Linked DNA regions of Nothobranchius furzeri. The protein of the gene in region 1 purifies or fractionates together with the protein of each later gene. This does not show direct contact. Links are inferred from orthologs where the notes say so. Each region holds a gene or a part of one and is shown in the gene's direction. Other genes may lie near its edges.

Region 1 (4,608 bases):
TATTTATAGCATTGGCCAAAATTGTTCTTGTTGATGCCTTAAACTCATTAACCCAAAAATGTAGTGGTCTAGAAATATTTTATCATATCAGACTGGAATTTATGTTTATGTCGTAGTACACATTAGATTGGATATTCAGTTGGAATAAATTAATGAGCTGTACGTACCCATTTGTCCAAAGGAACTTGCGCAAGAGACCCAGTGCCTTGATAAAGATCAAGACTGAGTTGTTCCAAGCTCAGTTTTTCCTGCAGGAAGTTTCCTAGGTACCGGTGCAGGAGGTACCTACAAGCCCGTTTCTTGATCGATTCCGAAAACGGCCAAGGCATCTCAACTTGGTAGGCCAGCAGCAAGCAAGTGATGAAATTTTGACTTGAAAGTTTGCTACTGCAACGCTGCAGGTTTTCAGACAGCTATGAATGAACCAGTGATGTGACAATCATGTCATCCTGTTGACTTGAAGATGCAGAAAAACTGTGAGCTCAAACATCCTTCATATCTCTGGGTTTGAGACAGTCGGGAGGATGTGTTGATACTCAGAGATGTGTGTAGGAATGGGTCCGACTCCAGTTTGCTGCGTCTAGAGAAAAACAACACACAAGGTTAGAAATATGACACCATATGACTTAACACAAAATATTAACAGGAAAACTATGAACAATGAGTTATCTAGCTGTTAAATGAAGACTGAGACGATACTAAATCACTTGGGTGGATATAAATTAATCGTACTACAAACGTGTGTATAAAGAGCACGTTTGTGCCTCTTGTTACCACTAGTTACTTGCGAAATAGCTGTAGTTAGCATATCACAAATTTATCATCTTTATCAGCCTTTAAATTTGTTTATGTAAACACAGCTGTCATGACAGGCGGTTTTGACTGTTGGCTAGACAAAGGCAAGTCATTCAGCTAACTAGCCGGCTATTATGCGTGAGGTTTCCCCATTCTGTGGGGTGAAGCTACATTAGCGTAGTCGGTGGGTAGCATAAAGCTAAGGTGGTAGCATTGTGCTAGTTAGCATGCGAGCAAAGGTAAAAACACATTTTCCTTTTATAAGCCTCTCCACTCAAAATGTAAACGAATTAAAACATTATGCTTAAAAACAAGGTTTATAATTCAACGACGACGCTTTAGAAAAGCTAAATAGACCACATCAAGACAGCTCTTAAGTTACCTTCTGATTGAGTTGTTTACAAACACTTTCATGACTCCGCACCAACTGACCCTGCATTTAATTGAGAGACCTCCAGAGGGAGAAATAAACACTCAAATATGTTCATTGGCAACCCTCAAAAGCAACACAAACATGTTCTTATCCAGCGACATTAAATAGGAGAAAACATACGTACCGTTTGGCGTTTTATATATTTTTGTTTCTAAGTAATTCAGTATTTATTCAAAGTTCTCCTCGTTTCCTACATGCCTCTGAATGCACCATAAATCCCACACATTTAGGGGTGGGATTAGTTCATGACGTCATTACATGGCGGACCTGTTATGCTCACGGCACTTCACAACTAAGAATTGGCTGATATTTAGAAAATCAGAATTTAATCTGTACAAAATAAGTTAAAAAAGCGTGTTTTCATCATAGCTTTTGAAGTGACGCTCCTTTCGGGTGGTTCTTTCCCACGCAGAGCAGCTCAGTGGGCTGGAACTAGAAGCTTCTCCAAACCGGAAGAACACAACCAGCGAGAGGGTGAGAAAAATTACTGCAGCTTCATCTGTATTTATTTGTTTATGCACGATCCAATCTCTTACTGATATTTCAAAACGTCATTGAAGATTCACACCTAAAACCCAAAAGAAGGACGGAATTACGTTTGGATCGAACAGTTGATTTTCAATAAAACTGCAGAGTTTAGCGCCACATTTATTTAAACCTCATTTGCTCAATAAACATAACTATAACACCTAAAGTTATTATTCTATTTATGTGAATTACAAAGCCAGTTTATTGGTATTTTTGCAGATACGTATGCGTCATTGTTTATTTTCCACAAGGTGTCGCTGTTTTTGTTTTTATAAACATTTAGTTACAAGAATCTTCAATAAAGTACAATTTATAAACGAAAACAGGCATAATTCGTATGCATTAGGTTGCACAATGTACTTAATATGCATTGATAATGTTTTTTACTGTCGTTGTAAAAAAATCTTATCATCAAAGCTAATAATAATAATATTAATCTACTTATTAAAATACATATATACATGTAAATGTTTGCCCGAGTTCGATTCAGAGTGTGTATTTTTTCCGTATTAATTGGGTTAATAAATAAGCAGGGGTTTGTAGGTATTGTTTTTCATTATGTTACTAAACTGTAAAACAAATACTTGTATAGAGGGCTCAAGTACAAAAAACAGCAGTGACAAAGTATTGCACAGTGTTTATTTTAAAGTGTATAAAACTAATTTTATCAGCATCCATAAACAAAACACGAAAAGAATGTCTGTGGTTTAAAAATAAACTTTCTGAAAGTTTCCCCACCCTGTAAAAGTTGATTTACTGTGGAGGTTGTTTAGTTTTGCTGCACCTTGAAGATTGCAGTCATGACTGATGACAAAGCAAAGACATGCAACTGCTGACTCACGTGGAAGTGAAGTAATCTGCACCCTGGAGTAAATGCATCGTGATGGGTTCCAGCTTTTTCGACTAATGCATGGAGCAAAAGAGAAATCAATAGTTACTCATCTGCATAGAGTCTGAGTGTCCTCAGGTTTGCAGTGAATGATGGGGTTGAGAGGGAAAAAAAGAACAAAAAGAATCAAAACAAACGTGTTTTATTAGCCATAATTATAGTGTAGGAGTAACACCTGTGCAATGTTCTCAGTGGCGGTTTTACCATTAGGCATAGGTCGGCGGCCGCCTGGGGCCCCCTTGTGTTGGGGGGGGCCCCCTAGCCCTGACCGCCGGCACCCCTCTGTTAATGCCACAATATTCAACCTGTCGCCACCGACGGGATTGGACATGCACACTTATCATTACCATAATTCCTGAACCGTTCAAGATATCATTAAAATTCCAAAAGTGCTGAAATGATTAAAAATGGGGGGTTTTGTGCATATACAATACATTACGGTAGCCACCGGGATTTCCTGTCTTGAGCGCAACGAATCACAACACAGATTCAGAGACATGCTGAGTTTGTCATCCAAAATGCTCTGTTTTATTACTTTTGAATGGCTGGTCAGATTAAAAAAATTTCAACGGTTCCTAAAATAAAAGCAGCTTTCCAACGATCTATAGCATGAAGCAATCGGAGTTATGGAAAATATCGCTACGAGGGGACATCCTGCTGTACAGCCTGATTGTAATGGAGCGCAGCGCCGCGGTGAAAGCGGATAACGGAACAGGGAAGCTAATTAGCATGAAAACCAGCATGAAATTATGGAAACGCCTCAGAGAAAATCAACACGATCTATTAGGTGTCCCAGAAGGCTTATATCTGAAGACAGTGACTACGAAGAAGGACAGATCTCCAGTGAACCAGGATATGAATGTTTGTTCAGTCATTATTTTTTATTTTTTTATTTGAACAACCCTCAACTATTTGCTAATTGTAAGATTCAGCTTAATTCCAGCATTATTTACCTTTCACCATAAATAATTATTTTTGCTAAAACAAAAGTTTTTGGTATAGCAGTGCACGGTGTGCCAGAGAAGCACCCCATGGCAGTGTGAGGCACGCAAAGTGGGACTCTGCCTGCAGCTGGAGAGGAACTGCTTCAAGGTCTACCACATCAAATAAAAACATCTGAAAGTTTACAAAAATAAATGGTCTTAGAACTGCTAAAAAAGATACCAAGGTTCACAGTTTTTTAGGATTAGATGCATTACAGTTCAAAGTTTAAATTGTTCATCCCAAATTGTTTGCCCAAGTCATTTTGAAGTTCCTGTTCAGTAATAAATGTAAAAAATTTTAATGCGTTTTTTTGCTTTTTTCACTTTTAAGCTGATTTTTTTAAAGGCTTTAATAGAAATAAATTCTAAATACAAATCATGCACTAAAAGCTGAGGTTGTTCTGAAAGAAGAAGAGTTACACACACTTTGCACTTTGTATTACAATTTTACAGCCATAAGGCGCCAGTGCTCGGCAGCCTCGCCTCTGTCAGTGCGCCCCAGGGCAGCTGTGGCTACATTGTAGCTCATCCCCACCAGTGTGTGTGAATGGGTGAATGACTGATTGTGTTGTAAAGCGCCTTGGGGGGTTCCAGGACTCTAGAAGGCGCTATATCAAATACAGGCCATTTACCATTTATAAGATAAAAAAATACCAGGCGGCCCTGTTATAATTGCACAAACAGGAAGTGATTGGTAGTCATTCCACTCCAATCCAGTTGGTGGCAGTAATGCACCAAATTGTTGTTTGCCAAGTGCCATAAGACCACAAATAAGAATAAGAAGAGAGGCGGGAGCGTTCGTAACAAACTCAAAGCGATAGTCAAAACATTTAGCATGAAATTGAGTTATAGTGGCTCCAATAAGAGAAAGAAGCAGCTTGCTTTAAAAAAAACTTTTATTTTCACTTCTGAAAGTGACGTCGTTTTTCGATGTAAACATCAAAGGAAGCAGAAAAGGAAAGAAAATGGAAATTGTTTAA
Region 2 (4,414 bases), on another chromosome or scaffold:
CTGTAGTTTACTGGTAAACAGTGTAGTGAGGACAGATTTTTAAAATGTTTCTTTTATATTTATTTCTTCATTTCTTCTAGCCCAGACTGATCCTCTCGCCCACAGCCATCTTTTGCCTTTCTGTGTTTTATCTTTATGCTTGTGGGAGAATATGCTTTGGCTGGGGGAGGTGTTGCCGAAGGGAAATCTGTGTCTTGCGTTACTTCAACTCAGCAGCCTGTTTTAAAATGCTGCTGAGGTTTATTCTGCATGTGAACCATTGAAGGACAGCCTCGGAGAAATTCCTTTTGATGTGCAACACAACAGAGTATAAATAGATCACACAAAAGACAGACTGGTGCCAGCCCACTGTTTACTGAGAAAAAGGGAAGACTTCATCTTGAGGTAAGAGACTTTCACTCTGTTTGGGATGAGTAATAGTTTCACTCTGAGAAACAAAAACTGGTTTTCCATTACAGAACTAATCCTGATGAATTTATATGGTCATTAACAAATCACATATTTGACTGTGCCATCTTTCTCTCTAAAGGCCTCATACCAACTTTCATGCACAGTAGAGGGGGTGTGATGTTTGGAGTTTTCTTGCAACCAAAAGATCATGGCACAGTAGCAGCCAGACGTGAGGTTGTCTTTAAAAATGTCAAAGTATCCCAGAGTCTAATGTGGGATCTTCCACCACACAGCTGAACTTTTCCTTTTGACATATAACGGAGGCATGCACTGATGATTGTGATACTGAAGCTGCACGGACCTCCTGTAGTTCAGGGTCACGAGAGATACGTGTAATCCCTTTTAACCTACCGCAGCTTTATAAATACTTTACATATCATATCAGTTACAAATATCAATTCAGTATTTGCCAAAAATCTAATTATTTGGCTCATTTGACTGCATACGTTAAAAACTTATAAGCACTTCATATTTTAAGACTTAAACTATAGCTTGGACAATTTTCATGCAGAACCTCTCTAAAAAGTTATACTGAAGGGAAACTTACAACTAAAATTGGAAAAACTGAGCAATAAATTTACTTGATTTGCCCGAGGGTCGCGTGGGAAAGAGAAAAAAAACGTGTCCATGAAAGGCAAGGGGGGTAGGCTTTTGTAACTAACATAGCAACAGTGCTGCATGACCACCGGTGCTCTGTGACAGCTGGGGCATTTTGAACTGACAGCCGGTTTTTTTTTTAGCTCCATTGGTCGAAAAAGCCATCAATCCCGGTGGTTGCTCCGCCCCTTACCCCCCTTCAAGGCATGGAAAAGTCTTTGAAGTCATGAGGGCGGAGCTGAACAAATAATGCCATGTGGTGCTCAACACCTGCGTTTCTATTGGTCCACTGCGCCGGGGAAACGCCTTTTTCTGAAGGATCCCATCTCTGATTGGTTGACCATGCCGCCCCAGTTTTAGCGTAAGCGCGTTCACGTTTTTTTAAATTCTCGGTCACGAGTTACGTAAATAGCGTGAACTTCTTACGGTGATGGTGGAGCTAGCTTGGAAACCCTTTACAGAAACAGCGTACGTTACATGCGCAGCGACAAAGACTGCGAGCCCGAAACCTATGGGGAAGAAATAAAAAAAGACATTCGGTATCGTCGCACTCTGTACCTTGAGACCGTTATTTTTCGAGAAGCTAGCCGCCCCAGAGCCTCGGTTGTGACGCCGAAATTTGACGACGACGAAACCGGATTCAGTGTTGGTTTGAAGTCGTTAATTCGTTAAAGAGGACTGTGACGACTGGCAATTTTTCCGTTGGACGGTCTGTAGGCTTGGGTATAGCGGGAGCCGCCATGGCAGTCGGGTCATTGAGCCTCCACATCGGGATATGAAGAGGAACTGCATGTGTCCTGAGTCGTCGAGAAAACGACACGTTTGTCTTTGGTCCACGTTGGATTAACATCCGAGCCAACCCTCCTTCATAATTGTGGAATTCATACGGAAAATAATCGTTTTTTTAGCAGGGGCCACAGGGAGAGGCCAGATTCATGACTATTTTAGACGGAGAGTCTTCTGAGGCCCGTTGAAATAAATCCTGGAGTTTAAGAAGGAAATATTTTCTGATTGACCGTTGTTGGGAAAGAAAGGACTGTTTCAAACGAATTGATTTTTAAAAGAACAAAAAGTAACGCAAGGTACCGTAGGATAAAAAGGGGGTCTCTTTCTGCCTGCCCTTCCTGTGGATCACAGATACATATTCATTTACTGTCAATCCTTTTTTGGATGAGAAGGATCGGTGAATCGATCAGCTCTTCCGTTTAGTCAAAGCCTCCCAGTCGAGAGAATCAAAGGGATTGGATCATGTCGGGTCGGCCCAGGACCACATCTTTCGCCGAAAGCTGCAAACCAGTGCCGCAGCCCTCTGCTTTCGGCAGCATGAAAGTCAGCCGTGAGTACACCTCTGATTCTACAGTGACTTTTCTCAGCACGTACCAGGCCTAGTCAGTCTGGACAACACGCACCCCGCTAACAACCCTCTCATAAAAGGTTGGACCTGACAGAAATATGCTCACACCGCCCCTGTGCCGCTCACCGCTGCACTCTGACGTACCGCTCCGGAGCCGGTCAGCCTAGTAGGCCGCGCCGGAGCAGGGCAGGGCCGCCACGGGGCTTGGGGGGCGAGTGTTGGCACCGGCCCAGTTCAGAAACCATGCCTTCTCCAATTACTGCAAAATCCGGTCTAATTATTGTATAACTGACTTTAGATTGGATCGCAGAGCATTACTACACAGCACCAATCCTATGCATAACGGAGTTAAAGCGATGGGGCTGGTTTATTACGCAAATGGAAGGTGCGCCCATCGTTGACTCATGCGAAATTGACCAGCTCCTAGATAGACCTAAGCTAAACGAGCCCTCTTCATGATGACAAGCTGATCGCAGATGCCAATGCCCTCTGGCTAGAAAGTCTGGCACCTTTTAGCTCTCATTTACGGCATCTGCGACAATTTTATAGCATCCTAAATTACTCTTATCCACCACCTGCACAATTCTCCCCAATTTAAACACTATAGTTAGAAAAAAATAGCAATTTTGTACTACAGTTTCCAGATACTACTAATTTAATGTTTAATGTCTTCATTTAAAAAAGCAAATCTCTACTTATTTGAAGTAATAGCTTACATTTCAATACCTTGACACAATTCACAGCAGCTGCACCCATGTTCCACCTTTTTGCTCGTTTAGGTGTGTGAAAGGGGAAAAAGTGAACGTGTTATGGAATGTGGATGGTGCTTCGGGCTGTGATGTGATCAGGATGTGTGTGAGCAGTGTTTAGGCCTGAGGCTCACTATTGGGTCTCGGTTCTGGAAACCACTTAATGGATTATGACACACAAAGAAGAAAATGCACTCCAGTCCCAAACCTAACACTTGTTGTGCATCATATACATGCATGAGTGTTTAAGAGCTTCCTGTTAGTGTGTCCAAAATGAAAAACAGTATTGTCAAGGGGTATTTGCCAGTAAACGAGTTGACTGTATGAGGATTCCTGTTGTCACAATGTAAAGCTTATTGTAAAACATATTTGTACTATTAGCTGTATTTTTCTTTCAACAGGTCTGTCTGGTAAATCAACGTAGAAACTAGGGATGTAAGAAAATATTAATATGGCAATATATGGTGATATTATTTTACAGCGATATATCGATATTCAATATATGGTGATATTATTTTACAGCGATATATCGATATTCAAAAGCTTTGTATCAATTTTTTGGAAGAATTTACATTCTTACATTCAGTACATTTGTGTATTTTCTTTTCTTTTGGTGCAGTTCAATCACCGACTGCTGGTTGGCAGCAGTGTGCAATGGGCTTTGTTTCCTCCGTTGACTTGTAACCCCCAAATTCCACTACCTCCGCTCCGGTCCGCCCCCGCCCTCCGCTGCCGCTCGCTTCCGAACTCAATTTTTACTGCTACCCGCTCTACAACGGCTCCGCTCCGGTGCGGAGACCTGAGGTGGGCAAATAAGCATGCGCGGGATTTTCGAGATCTTGCGATACAGTCCGAGCAATAAACGCGGAAGTTAGATCCAAACACCCGTTGTGTGGGAGAAGCATCGACATGAACTGTTTAATCTGCCTATCATTTGTGTTGAGAGATCAGCAGTGTTTGGATCAACAAAGTGTGACTACTTTGATAGTGGAAACTGTATTTATGGCTTACTTTTGTGCATTTAAACTTCAGCCGCCACTGATAGTTGTTAAAAGTTGTTAAACTTGTGCATATGAAAGAAAAAACGCCTTTTGTTTATCGATGTATTGTGAAAAACGGAAGTTGTGCCCGCTCCTTTTCCTGTTGGACGGTTGTGATTTCTGTCCATTTACTGCGGAGGTGCTCCGGCGTCCGGCGAAAATAGGATCGATTCTTTTTTTGCCGGAACAGAGGACGGCGCCGCACTGCCGGAGCACGGCCGCAG

What was found.
Region 2: the proteins of gskip (region 1) and gsk3ba purify together in Homo sapiens (affinity purification with mass spectrometry; 10 studies listed by BioGRID and IntAct, with this or other methods). This does not show direct contact. The link is inferred for Nothobranchius furzeri from reciprocal best matches to the Homo sapiens genes GSKIP and GSK3B.

What each region holds. Positions count from the first base shown.
Region 1 is NC_091758.1:32,386,022-32,390,629, forward strand, and holds the start of gskip (GSK3-beta interaction protein), read left to right. Parts: upstream 1-1,563; 5' UTR 1,564-1,702; intron 1,703-4,608. Other genes in the region: autophagy-related protein 2 homolog B, read right to left, coding at 168-329. UniProt on the Homo sapiens protein: A-kinase anchoring protein for GSK3B and PKA that regulates or facilitates their kinase activity towards their targets.
Region 2 is NC_091754.1:24,451,756-24,456,169, forward strand, and holds the start of gsk3ba (glycogen synthase kinase-3 beta), read left to right. Parts: upstream 1-1,488; 5' UTR 1,489-2,295; coding exon 2,296-2,383; intron 2,384-3,127; exon of another isoform or gene 3,128-3,833; intron 3,834-4,414. UniProt on the Homo sapiens protein: Constitutively active protein kinase that acts as a negative regulator in the hormonal control of glucose homeostasis, Wnt signaling and regulation of transcription factors and microtubules, by phosphorylating and inactivating glycogen synthase (GYS1 or GYS2), EIF2B, CTNNB1/beta-catenin, APC, AXIN1, DPYSL2/CRMP2, JUN, NFATC1/NFATC, MAPT/TAU and MACF1.